Linked DNA regions of Bombyx mori. The protein of the gene in region 1 binds, or shares a complex with, the protein of each later gene. Links are inferred from orthologs where the notes say so. Each region holds a gene or a part of one and is shown on either strand. Other genes may lie near its edges. The genes, in order: tRNA (guanine(10)-N2)-methyltransferase homolog and multifunctional methyltransferase subunit TRM112-like protein.

What was found.
Region 2: tRNA (guanine(10)-N2)-methyltransferase homolog (region 1) and multifunctional methyltransferase subunit TRM112-like protein share a complex: the UniProt entries of both Homo sapiens proteins name them as parts of the heterodimeric TRMT11-TRM112 methyltransferase complex. The link is inferred for Bombyx mori from reciprocal best matches to the Homo sapiens genes TRMT11 and TRMT112.

Annotation. Positions count from the first base shown.
Region 1 is NC_085112.1:2,173,230-2,189,567, reverse strand, and holds tRNA (guanine(10)-N2)-methyltransferase homolog, read left to right. Parts: upstream 1-433; 5' UTR 434-605; coding exon 606-662; intron 663-734; coding exon 735-1,109; intron 1,110-1,381; coding exon 1,382-1,516; intron 1,517-1,740; coding exon 1,741-1,930; intron 1,931-2,690; coding exon 2,691-2,764; intron 2,765-3,300; coding exon 3,301-3,439; intron 3,440-4,594; coding exon 4,595-4,793; intron 4,794-5,698; coding exon 5,699-5,869; intron 5,870-7,209; coding exon 7,210-7,324; 3' UTR 7,325-7,365; downstream 7,366-16,338. Other genes in the region: esterase AGAP003155, read left to right, coding at 1-113; ER membrane protein complex subunit 2, read right to left, coding at 8,661-8,822, 9,558-9,653, 10,389-10,545, 10,652-10,795, 11,096-11,246, 11,989-12,102, 13,385-13,418; uncharacterized protein LOC101744027, read left to right, coding at 15,439-16,338. UniProt on the Homo sapiens protein: Catalytic subunit of the TRMT11-TRM112 methyltransferase complex, that specifically mediates the S-adenosyl-L-methionine-dependent N(2)-methylation of guanosine nucleotide at position 10 (m2G10) in tRNAs.
Region 2 is NC_085117.1:12,724,336-12,741,211, forward strand, and holds multifunctional methyltransferase subunit TRM112-like protein, read right to left. Parts: upstream 6,545-16,876; 5' UTR 6,359-6,544; coding exon 5,981-6,358; 3' UTR 5,616-5,980; downstream 1-5,615. Other genes in the region: Uqcrc2 (ubiquinol-cytochrome c reductase core protein II), read left to right, coding at 328-491, 1,102-1,320, 2,455-2,538; DIS3-like exonuclease 2, read left to right, coding at 7,698-10,201, 10,454-10,712, 11,732-11,926. UniProt on the Homo sapiens protein: Acts as an activator of both rRNA/tRNA and protein methyltransferases. Together with methyltransferase BUD23, methylates the N(7) position of a guanine in 18S rRNA.

The DNA.
Region 1 (16,338 bases):
GACACTATGTTACTTGTTCTGATGGCCTAAAGTATACATACCAAGATTTTTTGAAGAGCAGGCATCAGGAACTAGTTGAAGAAAATAGCTCCGATAAAAATGAGAAGACATAATTTTAGTTTTAATATATGTACTTGTGATGTGTAAATAATAAATATTAAATTAGAATTAAATAATTAAGTCAGCGATGTAGTTGTTATTTTTCCGCATTTCCATATTAAAAATTACCGACGCGTATGTATGTCCCCAAAATTCCTTAAGAATATTCGACGTTTTGAGCTAGAATTGTTTTCATTTAAAACACATTTATTTTTTACTACCCAAAGAAAGACCTTTTTCATTCTGAAGAGCTTACTATGCAAAATGTGTTCTTAGATAGTCGGAAATGTATAACATGACAATATTAATTGTTACCATTCCGAAATTTTAATTACTTAGGCTTAAAGGTCGAGATACAAGCAGCGCTGCCTTAGTACATGAAAAAAAATCTAACCAAAATAAAAACAGCAGCACGTGACATTCTTAGATTAATGATAAATTAAAAGATAATTACAGTTAATAGAAATACAAAAAACTCATGGAACTAATGTGTACTTGAAGTTAAAATGTGGCGGCGATATTTATTATGGTTCGCTCACGAACACGTTGATTTCAGACATGCTGTATGTGCTTATCTTTTAGTGTTATCAGAATTAAATTGCATTATTACTAAAAACATTTACTAAATGTTTCAGGAAATCAATAGTATTTTGTCCTTATTCAAAATACCCATCAAATTCATTGAGAAACCGTGTTTGGAGAAGCCGTATTGGATTGTAGAGCTCCCTTCAGAGGATTGTGCGAAAAAGATCGCCTCTCGGTCTGTTTTGATGAAAAATTGTATAGAATTGTGGTCAAGAGCTAAAAGTATTGACCAATTACATATTAATTTACGCAAATCACTTCAAAATACCACCTCTAAATGGATTTTCGAAAATGTGGAATGTGCTGAACATATCTGCCCTAAAGAATTGATTGATGTGTGCTGTTCACCTAACAGTTCATTTAAAATAGAAGTCGAAACATTCTGCAAACATTTTTCAATCCAGGAAAAACTGGATAAAATTGAGGTCTGTAATAAATGAATAATTTGCTAAATATGGTATCTCATTAATTTCTTTAAAAAATATTTACAAAACCTCCCATGGTAAAACTATAAAATAAACTTTTGAATGATTACTTATGAAATCAAATTATTTATTATTATTCTTTCAAAGGAAATCTAAACTATTTTGAATACATTAAATTATAAAGAAAAGGAAAATACTAGTTTACATAAGTTTTGGTAGGAAACTATTCAATCACAGCGCAGTATTAAGATATTAATAAATATAAATTACAGGAATTTACATACTTACCACTGAAAGGATCAGTCAAATTAAAGAATCCAGATATTACATTATCATACCTGGAGTTTTATGGAGTTAATCCTAATAATGTACCTGAACAACCTTATGACTTGTTCTTTGGAAAATGGGTAAAATAATTATGTTTTCTTATATAAAAATCTTTAAAGGTTTCATGATTAGGTTATAATAAAGGTGTAAAATTCTGCTCTAAATTTATTGCACCACTTAGTCTAGTATTTATAAGATTTGTTGTCTAAAACATTTTTTTTCTAATTTTCTTCTTACATTCATTCCTAAGCACCGTGTTTACTAAATTCAAAGTTAATTTAAAATATAATATTTAAATTTGTAGATATCTGAAGGTCAAAGGGATTTAATTCGGTTTCATTCATTAAAAAAACGCAAGTTCATTGGGAATACAAGCATGGATGCGCAACTAGCTATTGTGATGGCTAACCAAGCCCAAATTGCTCCCGGTCATATTGTGATTGATCCTTTTGTGGGCTCTGGTTCATTGTTGATTGCAGCTGCACATTTTGGAGGTATTTGTTTGTATAACTTTTGTATCTTCTATGCTATTGTAGAAATTTTAAACTGAACTAATTATTATTTAAAGTCGCCTTAATTATCATTTACTTGTACTTCACCACTGTCACTCCTACCAAGACACTCTTATAGTGAAAATCTGTCCATCTCATCGAATTTCTAGCTACCTTTGGTCATTTCTCGAACAAGTCAGAGGACACCCTGCCTCTTTGGTACTTACGTGATAGAGCATAAAAGAAACTAGATTATTTAAAGTACCACACTCAAGAGGGTTTTTTGAATATTTTTTGAGTGGACAAACTCATGGACCACCTGGTGTGAAGTGGTCACCAGAGGCCGTAAACATCAACTATGTCAATCCCACCGCTCATCTTGAGATATGAGTTCTAATTCTCCCTTTTTAAAAATATAATGTTTTAAACCGAAACGCATTACTGCTCAGAGAAACAGGGAGGGTGGTGGTACCCACCCGTACGGCCTCTCAAAACACTACCACCAGTAATTATGCAAATTATATTTTTTGTGGGTTTGATTTATTATATGTTGTTATTCCTTCGCCGTGGAAATCATTTGTGAACATTGTCTAGTACATGTTTTATTACAAAACTAGCTACGTACGAATTCGAACACTGGCACATTCGCATCGCTCAATACAAATGCACTGGCCCTCTTATCCTTTAGGCTACAATGACTTCATATGTCTCTGTGTATTTGTTTCTTCTGTAACTAATGTAATAACTATTGGCTTGTTTGTAGCATACGTATGGGGTTCAGATATTGACTACATGATGCTACATGGTAGAACGAGACCAACACGAGTCGGTCAAAAGGTAACAATGTATGTATTAAATATATGTGGTGTTGGAATGTAAACGTAATAAATAGATTTATTATTATTTATTGGAACAGATGAAATACCATACATAACATTGAGTCTGTATGAGATCTAAGTCTTGACTACATAAGATCTTCGTTACGTTATGCTTTAATTTTATTTCACAGCATTTTTTACTGCACTAAATGGTGAGAGTATACAATCCCTTTAATATAAAATGATTATATACTCGTATGCAATTGCTAATGTTTGTTACATAATTGTTATTGTGTCTGGCCCACCCCACACACTGAAATATATGACTGCTTAAACATGATTATTATTCTTTAATCTGCAAACACTAACAGAACTCTTATTGTTACATTATCTCCGTGTTATTATTTTACTCTGAAATAATTAACATTACATATAGGCAACTGAACTAAGAAACAATCAAGTAATATTATTAACATTTAAAAAAAAGCATACCTAAAAATGAAATATAATTACTAATAATAAATAAACTGATACATTCTCTCACAATTGCAACAGGTACGATCAAAAGAGGAGAGTATTAAGAATAACTTGAAGCAATATGGCACGGAGTCTAAATACATTGATATACTGGTCAGTGATTTTTCGTTGCCGCTCTGGAGGGATGGAGTTAAATTCGACGCTATGATTACCGATCGTGAGTTCGTAAAACTTAAGCTATTTCCCAATATTAAAACTAAAAATTACACTATGGTGATATGCTACCGCAAGATTTGTAAAGACCTACTGAGGGCTAGAAACGCATGGGATAAATGCCGATGTTGATGAGTGATCATAACCATTTAGAATCTAGTGAATCATTGGTTTTCTTCAATAACAAATAACTTTCTTGCAATTTGCTTACTCTATCACTTTTTTGGGATACGTTTTTTGATACAACAATATATACCAATCCATTGTAGTAAACAAAAAATTGTTGAATTTTATTAGTAGGAGGCGTCTAACACAGATTTTATTGAAATTAAAATGAACTAGTAAAGTTGTTTCCTGAAACGATAACAATTTAAATGTTAAATGAAAAAACCACAACAGTCCCTGCCAAAAATAAAAAGTTGCTGTCACTCTGGATGATGTAAGGAAGCTAAGAAAACCCCAAAAATGAAATAAAGAAACTGAGATACATAAATCCTGAGAATATTACGGTCATTTTTCGGGCAGTGTAAAAGATAGGGAGTGATACATTTGATATTTGTAATCTTTTAATGCACTATGTGCGTACTAAAGTAACAAATAATAAATCAGCTGGTGCGCGGGGTCAATGACCTCTCACAGGAGACTCACGCTAATTTCGCGTTACATACACTTACATTATACAACATATTTCTAAAAACAAAAAGTATTAAATTTTATATTTGTTTAGTGTTGTATCGATTCAGTATAATTGAAGACATGAGTGAATCAAGGTGATAAGTGCCTATAAACCATATTAGACTCCGGGATTGAGACTTAAATCTCCGGGTTTAAAGGCTCTTTTTAGAAATTGCATGTGATGAAGGATTTACGTATGAAGAACAAGTACAAGTACAAAAGTTTGTTGCTCATTTACTCAAAATTAACAAATTGTATCATATCCACTAATGTCTTTAATTATATGTATGCATGAATTGATTGAAACAGATCGAAATCTCAGATTCGTTTCAATAAGTTAACTCTTAGTTAACTATACTTATTTAGTAACAAATAATTAAGTAGGGCTACATCGTTTCTTAGTTCAGAAATGCATGATGGTTGCAATACCTGAAAGGAGTTTTTTTTTTTTTTTATTAAATTACATCACGACCTAAAATTTCAGCACCGTACGGCGTTCGCGAACCAACAGAGAAGATTGGTATAGAGCGAAACAATTACACTCTATCTGAGGAGCACCTCACAAATCACATACCTTCGAAAGTGGAATACGGCCTTCCTCATATCTACAGTGACCTGTTGAATTTTGCCGCAAGACATTTGGAGATGAACGGGAGACTGGTCTGTTGGTTTCCTGTTATTAGGTGAGGATTAGGAACCTTTACGAATATGCAAATTAAAATAGGCGCGTAGGTTCAATGACCTCGTAGAACGTGGAAGGTACGTTCTGAATGAAGGTACTTCTGATTTTTGTAGTTTATTTCACCCGTTCGAATCAATAAAAATAAATGTTGCATTACTTTCGTATAGTGCTAAAACAAAAATATATACATACTAGCTGACCCGGCAACTTCGTAGTGCCTCAATCGATAAAAGATCTAAACTTTTTTATAAAATCCTAGCGACCCGCCCTCGCTTCGCTTCGGAAACATTAAAACACACATGAAACAAAAAAAAAAAAAAAAAAAAAAAAAATTTTTATTTTTTTTAAAAAGTAGCCTATGTTCATTAGGGACAATGTCGGCTTCTAATGGAAAAATAATTTTTCAAATCGGTCCAGTAGTTTCGGAGCCTATTCGAAACAAACAAACAAACAAATCTTTCCTCTTTATAATATTATTATATATTATAAAATAAACTTAAAACAAACAAAAGGAATCTGTCCGACGGGGGACACATCAAAGGGAAAACAAAATTGTTATTTTTATTTAATTCCACGACATTTTTGCAACTTTACAGAAGAGCCATTTGAAGATTAAAATTTGGAAAAAATATCATAACAAAAACTTCTTCAGCTATTTGAATGGGGTAAACTTAATTGAAGTTCAATTAAAAACATCGAACTGCCGATGCTGATTCCTAATAAAACGCACCTTTAATTACAAAGATAAATGTCTCTTAAACTAAATAGCCTTTCAACCCTCGATATAAAATTTTGTTTACAAAAATGACATAAGAACATAATTGGATCGATCGAATTTTATATTGGTAACAATGATTTCAAACTTGTTAATTATTAATAATATTGTTTTTGAATTGTATGATCAAGGGCCGACTATCAAGATGAGCAGCTGCCTTCTCATCCGTGCCTCAAGTTGATCGCAAACTCGGAACAGATCTTAACCAAGTTGACAGCGCGACGCCTGCTGACGTATGAGAAGATATGTGATGACGTATCCAGCGTAACTGTTGATCCCAGCAGTGGAGTTCCCAATTTTAGGTAACTTCTATCCATCTATACTTAATACTATAAAGAGGAAAGATTTGTTTGTTTGTTTGTATCGAATAGGCTCCGAAACTACTGAACCGATTTGAAAAATTCTTTCACTGTTTGGAAGCTATACTATTCCCGAGTAGGATATAATATTTTTGAAAAAAATTAGGTATCCTCACTAAAACTCCAATAATGTAATCCAAGGTGTAAAAAAATTACCTAAAATATTCTTTACATCGCGTGCCCTGCGAAAACTATTGATGATAGAATAAAATAATGTACTACGACTTTGTAGAACACATTATTATTTACAAAAAGTGACGCGACAGCATATGTCTAACTATTATGGTTATGCCGCAATAAGTGTTCTTTTATTTTTAAAAATTAAACGTCATATATCGTTGAAATTTTTGTTAAAGACCCGAGCGGAACCGGAGCAGGCCGCTTGTCTATTATAAAAGTGAAGTGAAAAGTATTTGTGTATAGAGAATGGGTTACATAAAAAAAAAAAACATTAAAAATTACGATGTTTTACACACTAGTCCCAAATAAAAGTTTTGTTTTTATTCTGTAACAATAAATACAGTTTGTACTGCTATTATTTTTATTGCTTTATGTGAGACGTTATGTCAACATTACTGTTGTTAAGTGGTTCCAATAACCACATACACATACATTGACATTACAACATGAAAGCCTTGAAATAAGTCTCGATTTCTACTGTGTAACGTCAGTGCAATACCCCAAAGGTCTCACTGTTTCGTCCATGTAAAAATATCCGAAATTTTATCATAATCCAAATATGAAATTTTCATAATTGGGTATTTTTTTGGAAGTCGTAGACATCACAGTGGTCCCAGAACCGTGCGGTCCCACCAGGGTGTTTAGTGCGAGTTTTTTAACGTTCTGGATAGCGTAAAAGTTAACTCAAATTTGTATGGAATTGGAACGCTTGCCGTTAGGGGCGCTGTTCCAACTGCATACAAATTCGATATAACTTTAAATAGTTAAATGAGAACGGGAGAACGTTAAATAACTCGCACTTCGCAGACTGTTACCGAAGTTAGTTTTTTTTTATTGCTTAGATGGGTGGACGAGCTCACAGCCCACCTGGTGTTAAGTGGTTACTGAAGCCCATAGACATTTACAACGTAAATGCGCCGACCACCTTGAGATATAAGTTCTAAGGTCTCAGGTATAGTTACAACGGCTGCCCCGCCCTTCAGACCGAAACGCATTACTGCTTCACGGCAGAAATAGGCAGGGCGGTGGTACCTACCCGCGCGGACTCACAAGAGGTCCCATCACCAGTAAAATGCGATGACTAACATTCATTTGTATTTTAGAGACAAATACTTTGCAATCGGAGAAGAAACAAGACGCGAACGTAAGGAGAGGAGAGCGGAGGAGATAGCCACGTACGCGGCGGTGAAAGCGAGACTCGGTAATGAAGTCACATAGCGCAATTTAAATGTAAACTGTAATATATCATTTTAAAATAAGTACACTTTGTTTTTATTTAGTTGTTTTGTGTAGAGTTTAGGTCAAATGTCGCTATGGATTGTGTAGTTTAGTCATATTAATATTTTAAAGTAATATAGTTCGTTTAAATCTCAGCAATAGTTACAGAAAACGGATAATATAATTAATAAGATATGTTCTATGTGTATACAACCTCGAACCCGCAACTTGTCACAGGACACCTCTGGCAGGGTTAGTTTCTTTGGTTATTATATAATATAATAAGAGAAACCTCTTTATAATTTAACAACTTTATTATTTAAATACTTACATAATATTTTAAATTAGGTCTTTAAATTATAGAACGTAATTTAAACATTTTAAAATGCTTTAAATTAAATATAAGAAGTGAAACAGAAACTTGAGACTGGCAACACAGATTGCAAGAGCCAAGCTAATAATTTATATCGATGAATATTAATAATTATTTCATATCAAATTAGACGGTTATTAGAGGAATATTCAAATACATGTTGACGAATAACACCTTAGGCGCGTACCTTAGCATCTCACACGAATACTGTGAAGTAATTTGCTTATCAGGAGGTCAATAGATATCGAAGTTCGCCGGTGTTCATAGTCAGATTTCTTGGTTATATTTATTAAAACTAAAGCTACCTGGTCTCGTATTTCCACCAGATTTTATTGATCTACATTACTTTAAACCAAACTATACACACATCACAATTATGCAAGTAACCATCCAAGACTATATATATATTTATTAATTTATTTATTTATTACACTTCATGTAAAATTTACATTGGCGGACTTAATGCCTAAGGCATTCTCTACCAGTCAATCAAAGGTAGTGCAGAGTAAATAGTTAATTGTACCATTTGAAACAAACCAAATTTATTTGTTTTTAACCCAATGATAATATTATTAAACTAGATACAATCGCAAATATCTATTGAAATGTTTAATGTATCAAATATTTTCTAGAAATTAGCTCAAGAGGAAATGCGGAGTGTGTTAAGTTCATATAAAACATGTTGCCCTGTTTCTCCATGTATCGTAGTACATTGTCCTTGTGTTTTTTTAAATATATTTTTGATATTGTATATATTGATTGAAAGAGCTAATCCGGCGGTAAACAGTTACCAGGTATCATTGCAATTTCCTGGTATCCGCAATTCCTCTAAGCAATGCTACTATAAATAGATTTCTAATTGATATTAATCCGAAATACACTTATCAACATACATAATGTGACTCCCAAAAACCTCGATGCTGAGTCCCAAAAGACATAACATAATGAAAAATACCAATTAATTTATTCAGTTATGGCCAACGATAGCATCATCTGGGACAGTTGACTTGTCGGCTGAGTTTGTTTGGTTGCTTTGGACTGAGCCCAGTGGCACAGTTTCCACACTTCCTTGCGCTTGCCACTGTTCCCTGATGATTTGTAGTGGTTCAGTAGATTTGTTGTTGTCTGTTAAATAGGCACAAAGGTAATTTTTTTAACAAAGTTACTATTCTTTTACATGTTTATGTTGACGTATTGAGAATTTGCTCGGGTAACCACCCAACTGTTTCTTTTGCTGCGTAATTGCTATGTTGTTCTGGCCTGTAAGGTGTGGGGATGACCACTACAGAATACATAGCCTTTTAAAACATTATTATATTTGAATTCTGATAACCAAATTGCACAATTTGTTTACTACTACTACTTACTACTACTAATAGCCTCAAAGGGCTATTCTGGCTTCACTGGGTGTGTAAAGGCTCACAGGGCTTAGCCTGAGAGATTTTGCTAACCTTTACTATAGAAAGAGCAGTGCTGAATCTATCACCGGGTCGGAATGGCGACCCACCAAGAAGAAACTTAGTGGGTTTACAAGAGTCGAATTGGGAGTATAAGTTGTTCTATTTATTCATTCCTCTGAACTATGGAATCATTCAGATCGTATTTTCTAACAATATTTTTTCTTTCTTTGTTCGTGTCTATGTGTTAGCTTCGAATAAGTTGTAAGTTTCTATTCGTTGTTGGCAACACCGGGGTCTGGTCACGGCAACATTAACGTACAACAGGTGTAATTAGAAAATGTAATCATGGATATTCAACCTTACACCACTGAGATTGAGAAACACTTTTCTATATCTACTTTAATTCACTTGCACTTCGTTCTCGTTTTATGAGATTAACGCTTGTGTCACATGTACTTACCAAGTACAGACCCAGCAGCGACCTCATATTATCTGGATTGAGTTTCACAGATTGACAGTAATACAGTTTTGCCAACTCCAGATTTTCGATGCCGCCCTAAGGACAATAATAGACAATATACAGTTTTAAATATAATATCTATACTAATATTATATGACTGAAGAGTTTGTGTGTTTGAACGCGCTAATCTCAGGAACTACTAGTCCGATTTGAAAAAATCTTTCAGTGTTATATAGCCCATTTATCGAGGAAGGCTATAGGCTACACGCTATAACATCACGCTAAGACCAATGCAAGCGGAGCACCAATAAAGAATGTTTCAAAATCGGGGTTTTAATCCCTTTTGAGAGCTTCCACTGCGTGCGCTGCGGAAACGATTAAAGTATCGCTAAAGTAATGTATGAGAGAATTGTTTCCCTTTTTACAGTCCAGGTGTTAAGTGAATACTTAAGCCTATAGGTCAATTTGAATACCACCGACCACCTTTAGACTAAGATCTTAATGGTATTGTACAACTCTCTCCCATAATTCAAACTGAAACGCATGACAGATCCATGAATGACACCGGTATGTGTGTGGTTCGAGAAATTTTGAAAAGAAAAGCTTAGAAAGATGTTTAGCTTTGATATATTTAAGGCTTACGAAAAATACAACAAAGTATATGTGTAGTTCATATATGTAATTTAGTTATAGTGAAATTGTTTGTAAAATGTAGAGCTCTAAAAATGGACTTGAAGCCCATTTCATAATTTTTGTTGAACTTAAACTTCCAATTATCAATTACATAATTAATCAATAAATTAATTAATTGTAGTAGTTATGTTAACATACCATTGTGTACCGAATATCAGCTAGCCTCTGATGATGCAAGTGGCTGTGAGGCTGATGGAGGAGTAGTTCTTCGGCGCAGAACACGGCACGAGAGTAGTCCTGAACCTGAAGGTACAGGTTGCAAAGCTCTTGCCAGGCTTCCACATCTGACATAAACCTAAATAATACAGAGTAAATTTCTTTATTCCACAATAATTTTTTGTGAAACTTGATATGAATGAGGACAGGTGCTTTCAAAAATTATACGAGTATAACAAACATACTTTTTCAAATAGTCCACAAGTTCCTTGATCGCTTCGACTATGTAACCTTGAGCTTTCAGAATCGCGATCCGGCGCTTCCGTGCTGCTGAATTAGTTTCATCTACTTTGATTATGTTGTCCAGTAATTCTAAAGCTTCATCGAACCTATAAAATATTATGAGCATGAAAAGCTGTTTTTAATTTAAAATGTACAATGTAAATGTACCTGGAAACGAAATCAAATGTTGCAGATCAGCTTACAACCAACCTGCTTTCATTTAGATACTAGAGACCATAGACATCACAACATGAATACCGTCATTCACTTTGAGACAAGATGTGTGACCCATAAAACTGGAGCACATGACTGCTTAATAGTAATCATCTATTATTAATAACAAATAATTGCTTAAGGTAATGAATATCTTAGAGCCAAAACAAAATAGTCTACAAACAATAACTTACTTCTCCTCTGCCTCTAAAACAGCTGCTTTTAATTTCATAACTCTTAGGCTACCAGGAAACTCATTGGATAGCATCACAAGGCACAACATTGCTATGCAGTACATGTGACAGTCCAATGCTGCATAGATTACTTGCTCCAATATAACGTGTTCTGTAACAAATGCTACATATATAGATGGTGTTGCATATAATTATACACTACAGACATTACATAAACACAGTCATGAGATATTATTATAAAATCAAACTATCCACAACTGTAAATTTTATTATATTTTAATGAATTTGGTCTTTCTATGTCATATCTGTGATTGGTACATTCAAAGTTCTCACGGTTGCTACAGTTCTGATGAGGATGAGATAGCATAACTAGTTTATACTGAAACAGTAATGAATTTTAAAGGTGGTGCAGCCATTATACTATAAAACTCATGTATAAAGGTGAGCAGCATACAGTACTCTCTTAAGAGAAGATGGGCCGCAATACAGCTAAGCAATAAAAAAAACTTCATAAGGACAACCTTTGAAGCACTTTTTACAAAACCATATTATCATACAGGTTGCTAGATCTATCAACATCAGCATTGAACTCCATTGAGAACAGGTTTGACCAATAATCCAAAATTCAAAACACACACACATCAGGGTTATAAGTTATTTAAAAGTTATAAACTAGCATTGTGTTGTTGTGCTTTTACAACCTAATTAATTGTCTACTAGAATAGTAGAAGTTACTAGAAAAGGTAGAAAAAAAATATCTAAAACCACAATGTGTGTTGGCTGGTGAATAGATGTATTCTCGGTTATATTTCATTTACTTATCCTCAAGTATTTGAGCTGCTTGTACATTTGCAAATTTAAGCGATTCAATACATAAAAAGATCTATACCAACTCTCGTTTCCAAGTTTGTTTACATCTTCTCTGAGAACCACATCCCAAAGTTCTAGCACTTCTTTGCCTCTCCTCTCATTGTTTTCCCTCCATTGACGGAGAAGATCCTTTGCTTCTACAAAACAATATTTCAAAGTTGTGATTTCTGAGATCTAAATACTGATTATCAACTTGGTCTGTTATCTATGATGACCTCAATGAAAACTGTCTCATTGTTAACGTAATGTGACTTAAACAATTCAGACAGCTGAGTTTGTTTTGCCAGTTGCTATTAGTACAGTAGTAGATTCAGTTACATTAAGCTGATTCTTCTAACATGCAAGCACACTTGATGTTTACAAATAAATTGTTTAAAAATATAAAACTACTGTTTTTAATACTTATGTTCATATTTTGTATTATAACAAATTAAAACTCTCACAGTAAAATGTGTAGTTTATTGATGTGTGAACAATGACCTAATATCGAGGGGTGAAAGGCAATTTGGTTTAAGCGACATTTTTTCAAATTTACATCGGAGCCATTTTAGTTTAAAATATGGAAAAGATATCGTAACAAAAAACTTTTTCAACTATGTATTTGACTTTGTTAAGCTTAATTGAATTTCAATTAAAAACATCCGATTGTTGATAATAATACCAAAAAAACGGTATTTTAATTATAAAGACAAATGTCGCATATTAAGCGAAATGTCACTTAAACCAAATAGCTTTTCACCCGTCGATATTAACTACAAGATGGCTAGCTAATCTAAAACACAATTAAACACGTTTCCTCCATTGACTAATAAAGACTGGTGGCCATGGAATTGCATTGAGGCCTTTTGCCAGCATCTACTCCCGCCCCATTTGCATGCATCCTCCTCAGAGGCTCATGAGCGATAACAATAGGGATGTGTTTGCTATAGTATTCAAAATTAAATGTCATGCAGTTTGAATAAAATTCTTGATATTCATTTCAGTCAATTTACTCTGCATCTAAGACAGCAAATTTTTTTTCTTTAGTTTACCTGCTAATATGATAGCTATATCAAAGATCATTTTTTGGATTCACTGTTCTAATACAGTAATCTTTCTAAAATGAACAAACAGAAGTACAATACCCGATACTGGTAGTAATTGAGGTATTTTCAGCCCATATAAGTACAATCTTACTATGTATACTGCAAAGAATTCATACATTTCGATTGTAAGGGTCAGAGTATACTTTTTATAGTGTTTTTGTGCGAATCCACACATTCTATTAGGGAGGTTATATCCTAAGTATAATTATTAGTCTAATTATAAAATCCGGAACTATATTTACTTCAATTAAGATATTTAATTTTGGTCATAGACTGAACCATGATATGATAACTAGCCCACAGTTATTCATCATATTACTGTTAAACAGCTTACCATTGTGGCTTATTTCTTCGTAATTAAAAGACATTTTGTTTACTGTTTTTAATTTAATTTACCCCCAAAACTTGGAATAATATATCACGGACTGAAGCAATTACAAACACTTAACAACAACAAAAATCTAAATAATTTTATGTGACATACAACACTATCTTAAAATTCATAAATTAACTTTTTCGAACATTTATGGCAAAACTGGCAAAAGCACATAATTTTTTTTTTTTTTTCTATAGACAGGCAAAAGAAACATGACTCATATTGCTAAATTTTTTGAAACAAAGGGCGAAGCCTTTGCATTCAAAATAAAAGGGGAAAGAAATGAAATGAAATGGAATTTAATGAGGAGAGATATTGGAATTTTAAAATTCTATGTAAAATGTGGCTACCTAGTGAGAGTGCTACAGAAATTTAAACAAAATCAACAAAATAAAATAATTTTCAAGACTCCGCTCTTCGAATAGCCGTCGAAACAATGTGGAACATGAGGAATATGGATTTTTACGTCAATCAGTACATATCCGAATCTATCCGTAAGTATATTACGAAAGCGTCGTTGGGTGATGGTGCGACATGTTAACTAATCACGGCTGTCGACAACTACGCTCAGACTCGGCTCACGCAGTAGCCGATCACCGCCGAGGCCATTTAAACATACGTCATCGTGGATCCTTCTTGTCCACTCCTAGTGCTGCTGTAGGACGTTAGTAGTACTAACGTTAGCAGCAAATAAAATACAGGTCACCGTACTTGTCGATCCAGCGCAGAGTTCGACGAGATACTTAACACAGTGATATCGATGTAGAACACGAAATAGTTGCTTTTGAGCTCATAAGTCTCCTACGAGTGCATTCAGGCACTGGTTAGTAAGCTTCTCCCATAACCGATTTCCTGTTATCCTTCCTTTCCACAAAAAAAGAACAATCAAAATACGATCTGCACACCTTACAGTGTAAAGTAAGGAATTCTGTTACAAATGTCCACAAAGTCATTTAAGAACAATTAAATTGCATTTTAAATTAAATATTTACATTCAATAAAATTGAGAATTGTACGCATTGAAGGAATTAGATTGAGAGGAGAGTAAGAAAACATTTTTTTTTAAAGGTAGACCTTCCCTATCTTGAATATCTCAATTTAATTGAAGTACATTAGGAAACAAGGTAATTGCAAATCGTATGTATGGCGTTAAGAGCTGCGCCTCAGATATTTTTTTATTTATGAGGATGATGATAAAATTATTTGTTCATCCATCGTATGGTCACCAGAGCTGGATACATCAGTGAGTCCTCCTTTCACTCAATCCATTATTGGCTGGTACCCTTTGATTTACGAGGCGTATACAGACAAAATAATTTTTATTATCGTGTTTGTCATTTACGTTCTCTTCTACGCAGAATGATTTAGAAATTGATGAAAACACGTCGGAAATGACAATTTTGAAAAGTTCATCGACATTTCGTAACGTAGAACGAAACAAGTATTGTGAACGTGAACGAGACGTCTGCAATATGTCTGACAAATTAGAAATATTTATAGAATACGCTTAAACGTAAATGAATAGAGCCAAATATTTGATGATTTTGAAGCAATGGACTATGTACAACACACGATATAATAGGTAAACGCCATAGCTGACTTACCCTTATATTCATGAACTCATTTCGTATTTCATTGTACTTGGTGCCAGACTTTTTATGTCCTAATGGCCTTTATCTTCAAGTTTTGTTTTCTTTTGTACCATGTTTACATGTTGCGCAGCTCATACGATTGTCGGGTGCGAGTTTATAATGTAGATACCTATATTTTATACTGTATTTTGTTTCGCAGATCGATAAGCAACGTATTTGGAAGGAAGTTATGTGTTGTTGGTGTTTGATCGAGAGCCTTGCGTATGAAATGTAGATATGTACGTCACGCACTCTGGACGAACGGGTCACACGGACTACGAACGCGCATTTTAATAGTGAAAAAACAAGTCTAACTAAACTGTTTCGTTCGACCTTACCACAAATTAAGCATTCAGTAATTTGTGATTGAAACACCCAACAATGGATCAATTAATACAATGTCCTGTGTGCACCCTTTACCTTCACAATGGAATGAGTTTGGAATCACATCTCGACACTCACCCCAAGGACCAAGTTATCAAAGCTTTGTGTTGTCTTACCTCAAAAGGCAGTGGTTTCGGCAGTAGAACATCAACTCCTGCAAACTCGGAACGCTCATACAGAAGTCGGTCTCGGACACCTGCAGATGACAGATGGAATGGATCACAGCGAAGCAGTGAACCTGACCGCTACTGGCGAAGGCCACCAAGTAGGACTCCCAAATCAACATCAATTACATCTCTATCACGGAATGAGACACCTGAAATTAGAGATAGTATTAATTTTGACACAAATTCAGTTCCATCAGGTCAGCATTCTTTGTCATATGGATTGAAAAGTGATAAAATGCAACAGTTTCAAAGTTCTCAACTGTCAGATTTTGAACAGCCATTTACAGTGTTTCAAGAACCACAAGAAGATAGAGAGATTAAATATTCACGGAGTGCTGAATATACTGCCATGGATAATGTAAACAATGTTTTAACATATAACATACCACCAATAGCTGCTGGCTTAAGGTTTCCACCGCAAAACAATCTTGTGTCAGCAGGACATAAGAAAGCCCAAGATTTTGTAAAGATTCTACCAAAGCCCAATAACATACTTTTGAAAACCAATGTAGGTGGGATACAGTACATTACATCAGGAGTGAAACCTATGCATGTCATGGTGCCGACAACACCAACATTTGTGCAAAAGAATATACAGAACAACATGCTGATCTCAGGAAATATTTCTAATTCATCAGCCCATATTGATGCTAAAGTTGTAGCTCCACAATTATCAGGCGCCCAATTCAATAACATGTCAACAGGTGCCTTCACTCCCAGTTTATCAACA
Region 2 (16,876 bases), on another chromosome or scaffold:
CGTATGCTTAAACTGTACTAATGTTATAAATTCGAAACTGAGTTTATTTGTTACGCTTTAACGTCTTAATTTATAAACTGATCGTCATAAGGCTTAGCGTACATGCACCTTTTCAGAAATACAGAAAGAGACCGTCACTCAGAAAAATACTATTTATTATTTTTTATTTATTTATTTAATTTATTTTGTACACACAGCTGTTAGAAGAAACACGACAATAAGGATACAGAGTACAAGACCACTACTTATTTCATGTTGAAATCTCTTCCAGTAGGTTTTTTTGGTTACTTTTGTTTGTGTGTAATGAATATTTCCTGTATTTTGCAGCACTCGGCAACGGTCCCGTAACAAAGTGGGGGGCCGATAACTCTCCTCTAGCAAAGGCCATCGGCAACATCGGCCCATTCGCAGCGGCCGGATTCAACGTTAGCTACAGCGACAATGGACTATTCGGCGTTGTTCTATCTGTACCTAAAGACGAAGCTAAAGTCGTAAGTGTCAATTTTCTTGTGTTGCTGGGACATGCAGACGTGTTCTTGGCCAAAAACATTGCCATTTGAAACATTAAGTAAAAATGTTTTCTTACAATGGTTGTCTTGTCCTTAAGAATATTACATACGCTTTCGCGTCGCAATTACATAATTTTCATCATGAATTAAAAGGTTTACCTGTATAAAGAATTTTGATAATGAGACGCATAGGCAACAATTTAGGCTTGTTATTGTCCTATGTGTCTCATGACTATGAGTGAAAAATGAAAATCATTTAAATATTGCACCAAAACATGTTCAACAAATTCTCATTGTTCATTTAACATAATTGTAATTGTTCATGTGCATTTTTTGGAGATTACTCTAATTTAGAAATAATAAATCAATTATTCCATTTGAATACAATAAAATTTGAATAAGATAAAACACGTAAATCTATAATTTAAATTGTTATTCTGCTTTATTAATCTTATAAAATTTATTAGAGCAAGTTTTTATTTAGTATGTCAATGATACAATTTTTGCACGTTGCACATATTGGTTTAGCGACGACGATATAAATATTAAAATGGTAGTCACTATTAAAAATACTTTTTATTAAATGTTTCAGGCCGTAAAAGCTGTAGCTAAGGTCTTAAAAACCTCACTGAGTGCGGACGCTATCAAAGCGGGCAAAAATCAGTTGAAGACACAAGTGTTAAATGAAGCCGACACAGGATCGTCGCTTGCCGAATCATTAGCAGCGCAAGGCTTATACACCGGCTCTGTTCGCTCTGCTGTTGACATCGCCAAGGATATCGACCAGATATCCAATAATGACATCTCGCAGGTGATTTAGATAAACAATAAAATATATATATATTTTTTTAATATTCAAGAAAATTATAAACATTAATTAAATACGACTTAATGCTGGACATAATCTTCTGTTGATTGAGCACAAATTCTTGCCAAGATCCAGTTAATGGTTTGTTCAAATTGCTGACCAAGACGTCAGTGCATTCGTATCAAGCGATGCAACTGTGCCGGTGTCCGAATCCCGCAGGCAGGTACCAACTTTCCTTATGAAATATTATGTACTTAACAAATGTTCACGATTTACTTGCACTGTGAAGGGATAACAATGTGTAATAAAAATCAAACCTGCAATCTTATAATTTGCGTAATTGCTGGTGGTAGGACGTTTTGTGAGTCCGCACCTACCTGGCACCTATTTCTGCAGTAATGCGTTTCGGTTGGAAGGGTGGGGCAGCAGCTATATTGTAAAAACTGAGATCTTAAAACTCATATCTTAAGGTGGCAGCATTTACTTTATCTATGAGTTCTGGTAGCCACTTAATACCAGGTGGTCCGTGAGCTCGCCCACCCATCTAAACAATAATTAATATAAATTTTATATAATTAATAAAATAATAAATGTCTAATCCCATATTTTCATGGATATCACTCAGAAGACTTACCAAGGCTGCTCCAAATATACAAGTATTCTATGAAGTGGCTGCATATGTTTTGTCATTTAAAATTATGAGTATTCAATATTGTGCCCAAAGATCAAAATTCAACAAAAATGAATCTCGCCTGAAGATTTAGATTAATTTTATGTACTTATCAAATTCTCTTTTTTTGTGGCCGACTATTTGTTCAACAAAATGGTTTTTTTCTTCTTTTTTTTTAAATCATAATACTAGCAGGTTTGGTAGGCAGCGGCTCTGCCCCTGGTATTGTTGACGTCCATGAGCGACGGTGACCACTTACCATCAGGTGGGCCGTATGCTCGTTTGCCTACAAAGGCAATAAAGAAGAAAAAAGCTAAAGCTCGTCAATAGCTACTAAATAATTAATTTAGAGAATCCATTGACTGAGGAGAAATTGAAATTGTTTCACCTTAGCCATTTTATCTACATACAGAACTAAACTTGGGTGGGTACACACATATGTTATACACTATACTTTTATTTTCCAGGCTGTCTCGAATGCGGCAAAGAACAAGATTTCAATTGGCGCTGTTGGAAACTTAGCATTTGTTCCCTATATAGATGAATTGTAAACTCGGTATTAAATCTTAATTTATTCCTTAATCTGTTACCTACCTTAATAAATCAACAAATTAGAAACAATATGGATTGTAATTTATTGTTTTAATAAATCATTTGTTAATTATAAAAATTATTTTGGAGATGCTTCATGAGTACCAGATGTCTGAAGTAATGTATAAGGAGGCAAGTTTTTAGTATCTTTGAAAGAATCTCTGAAGCCACTGGATTGGTTAAAAAATTGTTTCAAAACAACTAAATAATTATTTACCTACTTACTCGGCCGATCTCTCAAGACCATCAACTTACGTAGGAAAAAAAGGTTTTTCGGGACAAAAGAGAGTTTAAGACACTTTCTAGACTAGGACTGTTTAAACTGCATACCTTTGTAGGCGAATTAAGTTTACTACAAAAGCTGGAGGGCCGCAGAAAATTTTATTTTCAAAAATATTTTCCAGTTATTCCCCAACAATAGTAAAATATAGCTTCACTTTTAAATGATGCCTTGGGAATAAATGGAAAGAATGGAAGAATAAAAAAGATAAATAATACCTAATTTTAATACTGATTATATGTTTTGACAAAGAATAATATTAACCAAGCTATTTTTTACTAAAACTATTTTCTGATTAGAGCATGCGTCGCGGGCCTCATCGTAGTAAATAGTATCTCAAATATTAAGTGCATAATCTATGATAATGTACCCAATAATCTGTTCAGTGTATTTGGTGATTTCGTGTGATAATTACAACAGTTTACCGGCACATCAAATGGCAAAAAGGAAGGAAACAGATTTCTTTTGAACAGACCAGATCAAGATCCAAATTTAGAACAAGACCAGAAATAAGTAAGCTGGATGTACCAAATCTACGCCAAAACACGAAGATCGTTCGTTAAAATATTATCGAACCCAAATCGACGTTTGCCTGGGCTCCATTATGATCCGTCGATTTTTGGGTGGGGGTGGGGGTAGGGAGGGGATAAGGGTTTACCCCCTGCATCATCCCCACCCCGCGGAACCCCATGGTTATGAAGATTTTCACGGTTAATGTTTTGAGTTTAGATTACCACTATTTAGTCAACATAGGGTTAGAATTCCAATTATGGTCTATCAATTTTGAGTCGAGGAGGGAGGGGTATAAGGGCTTATCCCCTGCACCATCACCAGCCCACATCCCCATGGTGATAAAGATATCCATTGTTAATTGTTTAGATTAAAATAGCATTATTTACTTAAACTCGAAGGGAGCTAAGAAACCGCCTTATCTCCGACGCTGCGGGAAGAGCAGCCCTTCCGCCCTTGCGTGCCGAAGCACGGTCACTCACACTCCGCTCGCAGCTTCGGCTTGATGGACCAGCCTCAGCCGCTCCCCCTCGCGCTGTTCCCATGTTCCGTCACAGCGGCCGAGGAGTGCTCTCCCTCCGCGCCTCCGGTTTTTTATATACACTAGGGGTAGGGCAGACAAGACCAGGTGGAAAGTGGGATGCTCTGATTCGGTTTTGGATATTTTTCGGATATCGAAAATTTTATTACTAAAACACGAGCAATTTTATTATTGTTATATTTAATCTTATTTAAAAATATATTTTAATACAGACAGTTATAAAGACGCTATAACAAAATGCGTTAGCTCACGTTCCGTTTCATAGTGTAAACATTATTTCGTTACATTTTGTGTACAAAAGTCAATATAGTTGCTTAATACAGCAACAATTACTGTGCACATTAATTAGAACAAAATGTGATTAAATTAAAATATATTTCTGTAATAAAATACATGTTTACCGTGAATGAAACTCGAAACGTCAACTTTGACGTGTACCTTGCTTAAACCTAGGCATAGATTATACACATAAAGGTTTCCTACTTCAGTGGTACCTTGACGATTTTTCAAATTTGTACTTAGGGAAACTTTAAAAAATTATATTTCGTAAACCGTGAGTTTCCGCAACTTGAAAATTTGCAAAAAGCTTTCTATTTATGATTGCTATCTACAAAAAAATTGTGAACTTCCAAATCGACGGACCATAAAGGAAAGCTTAGCCCCCGATAAGACAATGACCCCAAACATTCAAAAAAATTATCTCTGATGTTCTTAGAGCTAAAACGAAATAAAGAAATTTTGTATCAAAAATAAAAAATCATTCTCAGTACATTGTGGAAATATTTACAAAGTGAATAGAAGTTACTCTGACTCCGAATACTTTGTTAAATTAATCCAAAGAACGAGGCAAATAATAGGGGCAATTTCATACTTTAGCTCCTAATATTTAATGAAAAGTATTTTATTTTATTATTTATTTTCACTATATATATTTTACTGCTTGATTTCATTCAGATTTAATTGTAATAAATAATGGCTTGTGTGTTTTAATGACGTTTATATTTAAATTACCCTAGTATTTCCAAACTTTTGAGTGGTAGTGTATATAATGCAAACGCACTGTAATTATACTCAGAGTTTAGAGTAACAGCTTTCTTTTCATGTACTAATTTTAGTTATATTTTGTAGATTATAGCAGTCATGTGATTGGCTTCAAATCTATAATTCTTATCATTTATAATTTAATTTAAAAGCCATTACAGCCATAAAAGATGTAATTATACTATTACAGGTCGAAGTCTCAATTACTTACAATAGTGTCCTAGCTTTTAAACTAGTATGAAGTTATCAGTATTAACGTCCTTGAGGATACAACTAAGAAGTACCATCTTGTTTAAGGTACAAGTTGAAAAAGTGTCCGCCTGTATACAGCAGGTTATTGTTTGAAGCTCACTAAAATAGTATTAGTACAGGTAGTGGTAATTGAATTAATATAGCAGCTTTAAATAGAGTAAAGTGTGCAGTAAAGGCTATATTCCAATATACACTGCGAGGACTGTTCAGTCCTCTTACTGGGGCGAAATTCGTTCCGTTGACTGACAGTATACAATCACCGTATCATAGGGAAATATATAATGTCAGAAATTGTCACCATTTTTCTACTGTGAACACTGGTATTTTCTAAGTAAGGTGCCCTCAGTGCTTTGTACATGTTATCACGTTTACAGTACATAACCTCATTTCAATAATTCAGTTAAGTTATTATATAAATTGAAAAACAATATTTTCTTTATTGAAAGGATACTTTTAGTATACAACATATGCGTAAGAAAGTTTTCCCCAAATATTTATCAAGAATCCTGAAGCAGCCTCATACTGATTTTACCTATTAAGCAACTTAAAATTTAGTATACAAGGATTACATAAAAATCTTTCACAGTAAATTATATTGTAGAAATTATAAAGTAATGGTACATTTCTTAAAATATTTAATATGAAACAAATTTACATGCACCATAGCACTTCTTTACATAAAAAATAAAACAATCCTATGTAATGTTACTGCAATAAAATTAATGCTTAAATAAAAAATTTGTTACTAATATTTTTAGTACAGGCTCTAAATTGTGAACTACTGCACTTCAGCTTCATTTAATAGCATATTAGGAATTCCTTTAGAAATCGGAAATTGTCTTCCAGATTCTGGACAAGTCAAGTGTCCCTCTTCAACTTCCACCTCTAACAAGACTTTATGAGCTTTCTTCAAAAACTCTTCGTTTTCATCATACTTATTTTCTAAAGATCTTGGCAGACCATCACTGTGGCCGATGCTATCAGCGGCCACCCATAATACTTCCCAATCCAGCTTTGGTATTACACGACTAATAAATTCAGGATTAAAATCGACTTCTTTAACTTTAATGTCTGTCGCGTTAATTGCAAGAGGATAGCCAGTCACAACACCTTTCAAGCATTTCGAAGTGAGCATATTGTGGGTAATTAGTTTCATTATTATATTTGTATTATGCAACTTCAGTAGGAATTGAAGTCTTGACAATAATAGCTTTTCACGAGTAGAACCAAGCGATTAAGATTATTGGCACTTTTTTGTAGAATTTTCTTAAAACATATTTGTTATTATGTACTTTACGTGCATAATTAGATATTTGAGGTTATGTTTAGTTTTTGTTCAGTTGTGTAGTGAGTAGTGACCTGACAGCAGTAAGTAGTGGTAGTTTTATTTTTCCAAATGGAAAGGCAAAGGTATCACACCATACAGCCTAGTCTGTTATAGATTTTTTTTTTTTTATGAAATATATTATGAAATGAAATGAAGCTGATTAATTTAATGGCATGGCATGAAATGAATTGAAATGAGATGAGATGATAATTATGATATGGGTATTTTTATGAAAAATGATGATATGGAGTGAAATGAAGAATTTGAGACATTAATCAACTGGGATGAAATCAAATGAAATGAGATGAGATGAAATATAATCTCAGTAAAATGTTGGTCGTTTACTGAGATTTTTTCAATGGACGTTTTGGATGATCCCGATAAGTTACGTCCAGCGGCTTTATTTTATTTTCCCACATTTGTGCACTTTCAAAGATACTAAACAGTTAATAAACCACCGTTATTATGCATTTCAATCTGAAGAAACACTAAATAGACAAAATAAAACAAATCACACAACTTCACTCCTCGCGTTCCCGCGAAAAAGTTGTAACTTGTTCACCTTTTCAGTCGTAGCTCGAGGTGATACTCGCGCAGAGTATAATAAGAAAGTAATAAAATAAATAATGGATTAATAGTAATTTGCCCGAGTCTCTTCAATGTAATCTATTAGTCTATTATTGTTACTACTTTTCGAAAACTGGTACAAAATTTTTGCGCCTCGAGGCGATAAGCCAGGTTCACCGAACGTGTAGGCTCAGCATGGAGAACTTACTAGCACTAGCTTTAGTTAGAGCGGTGCTTCTCTGAATCTACCACTGGACCAGAATCGAGATTCTCTGAAAAGAACTGGCGAGAAACTCAGTGGGCTCTGTCTGACGGTCAATTTACTAGCTTGACCTTTCTTTGCATTCGGAAGGGATAAGCATTTATATTAAATTGTTGAAAAAAAATATATTTACATTTTTTAAATTAGAATGGATATAAGGTCTTGTAGCCGTTGGCCGTACATAAATATTTAAAAATATTAAATTGAGTATAATTCTGTGTAAAATTATTGTAAATATTGAGGAGAAATGTAATCATTCACATTTATAGACAAAAGCAGCAGGCTTGTAATACTCCATACCTGCTTATAAGTATTTTACAGTTTTTATTTTTTTGCGCCATGTCAAGCCATAACTCATTAAGAATGGATGCAGCATGCAGTGAACCAACAACATCGGTGGTCTCCACGTCGTCAGTACCACAAAAAACATCAAGTGACAAAGCAATAAATGAAAACAAAGTCGATTCACCTAAACGAACACCCAAAAAATCAAAAAAAAAACAAAGATCAGAAGTTACAGTACCTACCATGGTATTCAACAATTCATCAATTAACGATGTTTCCAATAAGTGCCAGAATTTGCAAATTGAAAGCGACAGTGATAACGGGGAGACAGAACAGGTAACCCCAACTACCCCGTCGAAAGGAAAAAACGCCAAGAAAAAGGAACGACTAAAAAAGTTGGAAATACCTACGGTACCAGTGAATAACTTTAACAACACAAACAGAGTACAAAATTCACAGTATTTATTTAACTATTTTGGGTCTCCTAGAAATAGTACATTCTCTGTGCATGAATATTTTACCCAACAGATTACACCATTGTATGCAAGTACCAGCTCTAGGTATTTAGAAAATCTGTGTCACCATCCACAATATCAATATATGCAGAATATCCAACACATGAGAGATATTTTACAAAGCCCAGAGCATGTTGCTAGTGTACCTATCACTCCATTAATATTATCAGGACAGAGATCAGAACCTGTTTGTATTCCAAATTCTACATTTATTCATTCTGAACCTAGCACTCCAAGGTTCATAGAGAATGCATTGCAACACCCCTTATTGAATCCATCATTTTCAAGACAAACTGGTACAATACAAATTGGACAGCTCAGACTGAGGCATAATTCAGAAAACAATTGCTTAACTAAAACTCTTGTAAATGGTGACAAGAAATTTGATGCATACCTTTCTGGAGAAGATGTTGAGAAAGGTTTAAAGAACAATATGCTTATTGAAGGTGTTCTGAGGATAAATCCAAAACAATATCAACATTCATATGTTTCAAGTCAAGACCGGAGTCAACAAGATATATTAATAGACGGTATTAAGAATAGAAATCGTGCAATGGAAGGAGATGTAGTAATAGTACAATTAGTTGAAAATGAACCTGAAGAAAACGTTACTAATCCTGAACAAAAAAGAGGGAAAGTAGTTTTTATCAAGGAAAAAGTTCATACTAGAACTTGTATTGGTTCACTCAAACTAATGCATGACAAAAATAGACAAAAAGCTATGTTCGTGCCTCGAGATCACAGAGTACCAAGAATAAATATACCATTTACTTCATGGCCAGATAATTTTTATGAAGATGCCAAGAAATATGAAAACACATTGTTTGTTGCAAAAATAATAGATTGGTCTGATACAAGGTTTGCTGTAGGAAAAATTATGGGTAATATTGGTAAATCAGGAGACATGGTCACTGAAACAAAAGCAATATTAGCAGAAAATGATTTAGATGTTACTGCTTTTGGCTCTGAATACAAGGATTTGTATCCTCAACTTGACTTTACAATTCCCGATGAAGAAATAGCAAAGAGAGAAGACTGTCGGATGTTATGTATCTTTAGTATTGATCCATTTAATTGCCGTGATATTGATGATGCAGTCTCTTGCAAGGAACTAGAAAATGGTAATTATGAGATCGGAGTCCATATTTCTGATGTTACATATTTTTTAAATGAAAACACTCCGCTTGATGTGAAAGTTGCAGAAAAAGCTACAACAATATATTTGGTAGAAACTGCTTACCACATGCTTCCAGATGATTTGTGTATGCTTTGTTCTCTATTCCCTGGTGTAGATAAACTAGCTTTCTCTGTTTTTTGGGAAATGACCAAGGATGCTAAAGTTATTAGTTACAGGTTTGCTAGGACTGTTATAAATTCATGCTGTCAGTTGGCATATGAACATGCTCAAGATGTTCTTGATGACAAAGAGGATGCTCAAATAAAATTTCCAGAAATGTACAATGGTTTTGATTACAAAGATGTGCACAAATCAATAAAAATTTTAGGCAAATTGTCAAATATTCTTCGTGCAAATAGATTTGAGAATGGTGCATTGAGAATTGATCAACCTAAGGCTAGTTTTAGATTAAATCCTACTAGTGGTTTACCAGAGTCATACTGCATATATGAGAGTAAAGAAAGCCATCAACTCATTGAGGAATTCATGTTGCTCGCTAACATGTCTGTAGCTACACGTATTTATAGTGACCACCCAAAACTGGCATTTTTAAGGAGTCATCCACCACCAAGTAAATATATGTTGATGCAGCTAGAAAAGTCTCTAAAACCAATGGGCATAAAATTAGATATCGAATCGGCTGGACATCTACACAGATCTTTACTACCATATGTGGGACCAGACAATACAGACAAAGGAAGAGCCATGGTTTTAAATTTGCTATGTGCAAAACCTATGACAAGAGCAAAATATTTTTGTGCTGCTGCTTGTGATGATGATGAATTTCAACATTATGCTCTGAATGTGCCCCTGTACACTCATTTCACAAGTCCTATTAGGAGATATGCTGACATTATGGTTCATAGGTAAGCTGACTGTAATCTTTAAGCACACATTAAGTGCGCAACTACACTGTTTGTCAATAAATGGCTGCTGCAGTAAGTGCTAGTCACTTACTTTTGACAGATCTAAAACGTGAACCGAGCTTTGACATACTTAATATGGTAAACAAACCGCTTTAAGACATTGTTATGCCATGATATACTTTTGGTTTTTGAAAATGTGTTCTATTTGCACTACTGATACATTTGAGATAACTTTAACTTTGTTGTTTTCAGGCTATTAGCAGCAAGCTTAAATTATAGAGAAACTCCAGCATGGCAGGAAGATGATGTACGCATGATAGCTGCTCAATGTAACAAACAGAAGTACAATGCTAAAAAGGCTGGTGAAATGTCAACAGAATTGTACACTTTAAAGTACATTGAACTTAATTCTCCCATAGTCACTGAAGGTGCTGTGGTTGACATTAGGGAGAAATATATTGATGTTATCATTGTTTCCATGGGCCTGAACCGGAGAATATTTTTCAATAATGTAAGATTTTTATATAATATCATTTAATTTTCTTAAGCATAAAATGAGTATATGCAAAATTCAAAGAGAAACAATATACACATCTACTATAGATATCTACACCTATATACTATATCTATATACTATACCATCTACCCATCTTTAAACTATAGTGTCTATACCCTCTGTGTCACAAAATTATATAGGTACTGAGCATATACCTTGAATTTTATAACTGATAAATTATGTACAGTGCACATATTTCTCCTTTCATTTTGAATACCCAATGACATTATTAATGATTTAATAATGATTTAAAATCTAGAATTATATCAGAAATTATCAAATGTCTTTATTACTTTTCCTGATTTCATTAGTCATTTTATCGATAATTGAAATATAAATGCATGTGTGCATGCACTTACTTGCATCTATTATGCTAAATCTACCTAATTAAATTAAGGTTTTATCTAATTAAACCTCCCATATTATTTAGTCCTATTTACTGTTTATTTATTTATTAATTTTTTTCATTTCTAAAATGAATTAGTTTTAATTTTCACTCAGTGTACTTCACAAGTATATAACCCCAACGTTTTGAAAAAATTGATTATTACTTAAGCATCTTATTCACTAATTGAATTATTTTTTAATTAAAAAATAACTTATGACTTCTCAAAGGAGATTATCCTTTTTTGTTTAACTCCTGATGGTCTTCTTCTGATACCTTAATTTAAACAAATAACATACCTAAAAATATGAGGTTGCCCTATTTTTCTATTTTGCTTTTAAAAGGACAGAATTTGAAAGTATTAGTGGCCGTGAACATTTTCAATGCAGTTTTAAGGAAAACATCTTTAGCACCGTTGTGATTTGAAATTCAGTTACATGAATAAAAGGAAAATAACAGCGACAGTCATTGTCTGTGCCACAGCGACAAAGAGTTATTTAGTACTTCTGCATGTGTACTGCATCTACCCATGTCTTTTTCCTACTCATAGTGATAATATTTCTTTAATTTATCGGAATTTTTTTCGTAGGATTTTCCTGGAGAGTATAAGTGTATTAGACACGAAGAACTTGCGAAGTTGGCTCGAATGGAACTGAAATGGAAACCGGTGAATGAATTGCCAGAAACTAAACAAGTAATTGGAGTTTTTTCCATTGTACAAGTTGAAATGCACAAAGGCGATGACATGGTAAAAATCGAAACTAAATTAGTGCGACCCCAATAGTTTACATTATATTATTTTACTGGTTTTTTTATGACGACGACAACCAGACGAGGGTCTTCAAAATTTCCATTCGAAACCTGAATTTTTTGTAATGTTACAATTTGTAACAGTAATTCTATTTCTAGAAATTAAGAGAGTTTAATCCGAAATCTTAATTTATTTTTATAAATGAAGTGATTTTAATGAAATTTAGTGTTAAATGAAATCGTTCCTTTCGAAAGCTCTTTACTCTAGAATTTATTGGTGACTGCAGTTTTTATAAAATATTTAATGTTTTTAAAAAGATTATATGAATGACTAAGTTGTTTGTAATTTAATATATTTGAAAATTGTGTATAAAATTTTATTCCTGATTAGACCAAGAAGATGGATCTTCTAATCATTTTAGCATTAATTGAATACTGTGTTTCTTATTTTGTAGTCTGTGTGTAGACATATTGTATGTAATTATAATATTCTGACAATGTTGTATTAGGATTACTATTTACAATTCATAGAACTGTCTTAAAAACCTAAAGCAAACAAGTCTTTAGGCGTTAAGATAAATGCATAATAATAATAATAATGAAATGTTTCAAATAAAACATACATAGATAATTGCATAATAAAAAATTGAATTCATTATATTCAAGAATAATTGAACTGTGAATTTATGTGCTTTACAGTTTTGAGAAAGCGAATTTTTATTGTTTATTGTAAGCCTCATGTCAGGCTCAAAAAATAAGGGAGCGCTCAATTCGTCTATATTTTTGTTAGTATTAATGGACTATCTCAATAGCCCACAGCAAACTGAAGTTGTAAATGTGTGTCCTATCACTCGGATCTTGATAAAAGCCTACGAAATTCTCTTTAAAAGTCGAAAATTACAGATCTAACTTCCAATTCAATTTTTAAATTGCATAATCAGGATATACGGCCCGCATACGTCTTACATAATCAAAAGTAAATAAAGTCACTCATCTTGAACTCAGGAGTGGAGTGCTTGCTAGCAACTGACTCAACCGCTCGAGGGCACCTGCTTTGTGAATGCAATTATGAATGGATCATTGGGACTTGCTGAGAAGTTCCGACGAGGAACTAACTCGGCGGGTTGATGTTATGGGCTAGATTTCACATCGAACTCTGACATTCGACGAGCAATTACCTATACTCTGGGTGGTGCTATCGCAAGTAGTAGTAGCAGAGTGCATCACAAGGATCTGAGGGTACAATATGCGGCACATTGCATGTTTGCTGAACGTGAACGTTATATATAGTAAGTCACTAAAGCTAATACAAAATACTTCAACGGTCCTTAAAATCAATTGAAATAGAAAAAATCTTGTATTTTTTTCAAATAGGTTGGTATTTGCTGGTACTTTTTTCCCTACTTAATCGTTGGTAGCCAAAAGAGCTATTCCAGTTTCGCGCGGTAGGTGAACTCACGGGCTCAACCCGAGAGAATTTGGTAACACCAGTCCTAGCGAGAGCAGTTCTTCGCAGAACCTACCAACGGATCGGAATAGGGATCCCTTGAGAAGATGTGGTGAGAAACTCAGTGGGCTAATCTTGTAATATTTAGTCCCTTATAAATTCTATTCGTACTATTTATGAAATAAATTTCCTGCTTCTTTGTGCCGCTATGCATATTTTATAATAATATTATCTGTTGTAATAAGTCTAATAGAATATTGAAAATAGAACGGGATATATACGAACAACACAGGAAGAATTGTTATTTCAGCAGTGCAAGTGAATTCGAATAAACGTCTTACAGTGAACTGCGCCGTTCATACCTATTGTTCATGTATGAGCTACGCTAGCTCCTCAATATGAAGTGGGCGCTGCGTGTATCCAACTTAAGATAAAAACGAATTCATCCCTGAAAAATGAAGCCTAAAATTACCTGATTTTCCCGTATTCCGTAACTCGCTTATACATTGCTTGTGAATATCTACAGTAGTTATTCAGATCAGACAGATATTCACAAGTTACGATTGTTGAATGTCTACTTTAAAGTACAGAATGTTATTTCTTTTAAAATAAATTGTAACGAACTGTTCTGTGCCGATGTCGTACTGTGTACCTAATCGCAAAATAAGCTGTAACTCAATTTTTTTCATATTTATGACAATGCTATAAAAATATAAGTCGAGGGGTAAAAGCTAGGTTTAAAGCGACATTTTAGCAACTTTACAGGAGAGCCATTTACAGTTTTCAATTTTTTTTTATTGAAGTTATACTTCTTTAGGCGCGTTATGAAAAATTGATGAGTGAAATTTTACGATGCGCGCGCACCGTGACACAAAATTAACAGAAATCGCTCATTACAATACGACCGACGTAACTTGGCGAGTCTGAATATAGCTGCAGGTGAACATTCGCGCATGTACACTCGTAAAAAAAGTGTTATTAGCATTCATTTTTTAACGTTAAATATTTATTAATAATTATTTAATATTAAAAAAAAAGAAATAAATTTAATAAAAATAAGTCTTACGCGCGTACATAAGTACACGCACCCTTTTTAAATATCAACAAAAAAACTTCTTCAGCCATTTGAATGGAGTAAACTTAATGGAAGTTCCGTTTCAAACATCGAACTGTTGACGCTAATACCAAATAAAACGCACTTTTAATTTCAAAGATAAATGTCGCATTTTTTTTTATTATTGCTTAGATGGGTGGAAAAGCTCACAGCCCACCTGGTGTTAAGTGGTTACTGGAGCCCATAGACATCTACGACGTAAATGCGCCACCCACCTTGAGATTTAAGTTCTAAGTTCTCGAGTATAGTTATAGCGGCTGCCCTACCCTTCAAACCGAAACGCATTACTGCTTCACGGCAGAAATAGGCAGGGCGGTGGTACCTACCCGCGCGACTCACTATAGGTCCTATCACCAGTCAAAAAAGGGCATAAATCAAATAGTCTTTCACCCCTCGAAGTGTGCTTGCTTACTGGTTCAGTTTCCGTCAATTTAGTAAATGCTGTTGAAATAACGAAATTAGTTTACGTAATGTAATTCCGTGTTTTGTAGTGAATAAAGAAAAATTTAGGCTCCTAATAGTTTTTTTTTTAAAGACCCACAACGCCGTCCTCACAAAAATATGTAGATATTGGTTTTCGATTGGACTTCTTGGTGGAATCATACCGAGTGAAGTTTTTTGAATTGCGTTATTAAATAGTGTTTCTTCGGTTTAATCTGCAATGATGATTGTTTATGTTCCGTTTAGCATCGGTGAAATTGCACAAATGTGTGAAAAGGAAGTGAAATCCTTGATCATCCAACTGCGCCACTTTGAGAAGACGCGTACGGCACGACACGAAAACCCTGTTGTCGTTGCTGCCGGAAATTACAACGTTACGGATCCTCCCGATCCATTAACGGTGCTTTTAGGTACCTCAAGCACGGGTCACCGTCCTCGCCGAAACCGTCGGCTGCGACGAAGGGCTCGGCGAGTAAATTAACCCATAGACACAGCCCACTGAGTTTCTCAATGGGTCGCGTTTCTAATTCGGTGGTAGATTCTGCGAAGCACCGCTCTTGCTAGGGCTAGTGTTAGCAACACCTCTGTTTGAGCCCCGAGAGCTCACTTACACGCTAGGGTAGTGCTGATATTATAGTCTCTCAAGGTTATCAGAATAGAAAAAAAAAGTGCATCCAAATGCTTGCCAGTGAAATAGCTTCTGCGTTCGTTCAAAAACTCTATTATAGTCTTCGTAGATCCATTTAAAACGTTATTGTTGTATGTTTGGCAATTAATTCTAAATTAAAATGAACTTTATTTTTAAAATATGGATTCCATTTTTAAATTCAGACTTTTTATTGTTTCTTGTTTTGTTTTGATACATTTGCATCTTTCTCATCAATGGACATGACATGATAAAAATAAGATTTAAGAAAAAAAAATGGACTCCATGGTGCCTTTCCACCATACTTTCGCCTTTTCGGTATTGAAATAATCCATCCCGACAGGAGCCCTCTTCTTCGATATAGCGAAGGCGTTCGACAAAGTCTGGCACAACGGTTTGATATACAAACTGTATAACATGGGGGTGCCAGACAGACTCGTGCTCATCATACGAGACTACTTGTCGAACAGTTCGTTCCGATATTGAGTCGAGGGAACGTGTTCCCGCCCTCGTCACGTCACAGCCGGAGTCCCGCAAGGCTCCGCCCTCTCCCCGTTACTATTCAGTTTGTATATCAATGATATACCCCGGTCTCCGGAGACCCATCTGGCGCTCTTCGCCGATGACACCGCCATCTACTACTCGTGTAGGAAGAAGGCGTTGCTTCATCGACGACTTCAGACCGCAGCCACCACCATGGGACCGTGGTTCCGGAAGTGGCGCATCGACATCAACCCCACGAAAAGCACAGCGGTGCTCTTCAAAAGGGGTCGCCCTCCGAACACCACGCTGAGCATCCCTCTCCCGACTAGGCGCGTCGACACCTCCGCCACCGCCATTCGCCCAATCACGATGTTCGACCAGCCCATACCGTGGGCCCCGAAGGTCAAATATTTAGGCGTCACCCTCGACAGTAGGATGACATTCCGCCTTCACATTAAGACGGTACGCGACCGTGCCGCCTTCATTCTAGGACGTCTCTACCCGATTATATGCGAAGTAAAATATCCCTTAGAAATAAGGTGACACTCTACAAAACTTGCATACGCCCCGTCATGACATATGCAAGTGTAGTGTTCGCTCACGTGGCCCGCACTCACCTAAAATCATTTCAAATTATCCAATCCCGTTTTTGCAGGATAGCCGTCGGAGCCCCGTGGTTCGTCAGGAACGTCGACCTCCATGACGATCTGGACTTAGAGTCCGTCAGTAAGTATTTGCAGTCGGCGTCGATGTGCCACTTCGATAAAGCGGCACGACACGAGAACCCTCTCATCGTGGCCGCCGGTAACTACATTCCCGATCCTGCGGACAGAATGGAAAGCTGTCGACGTTG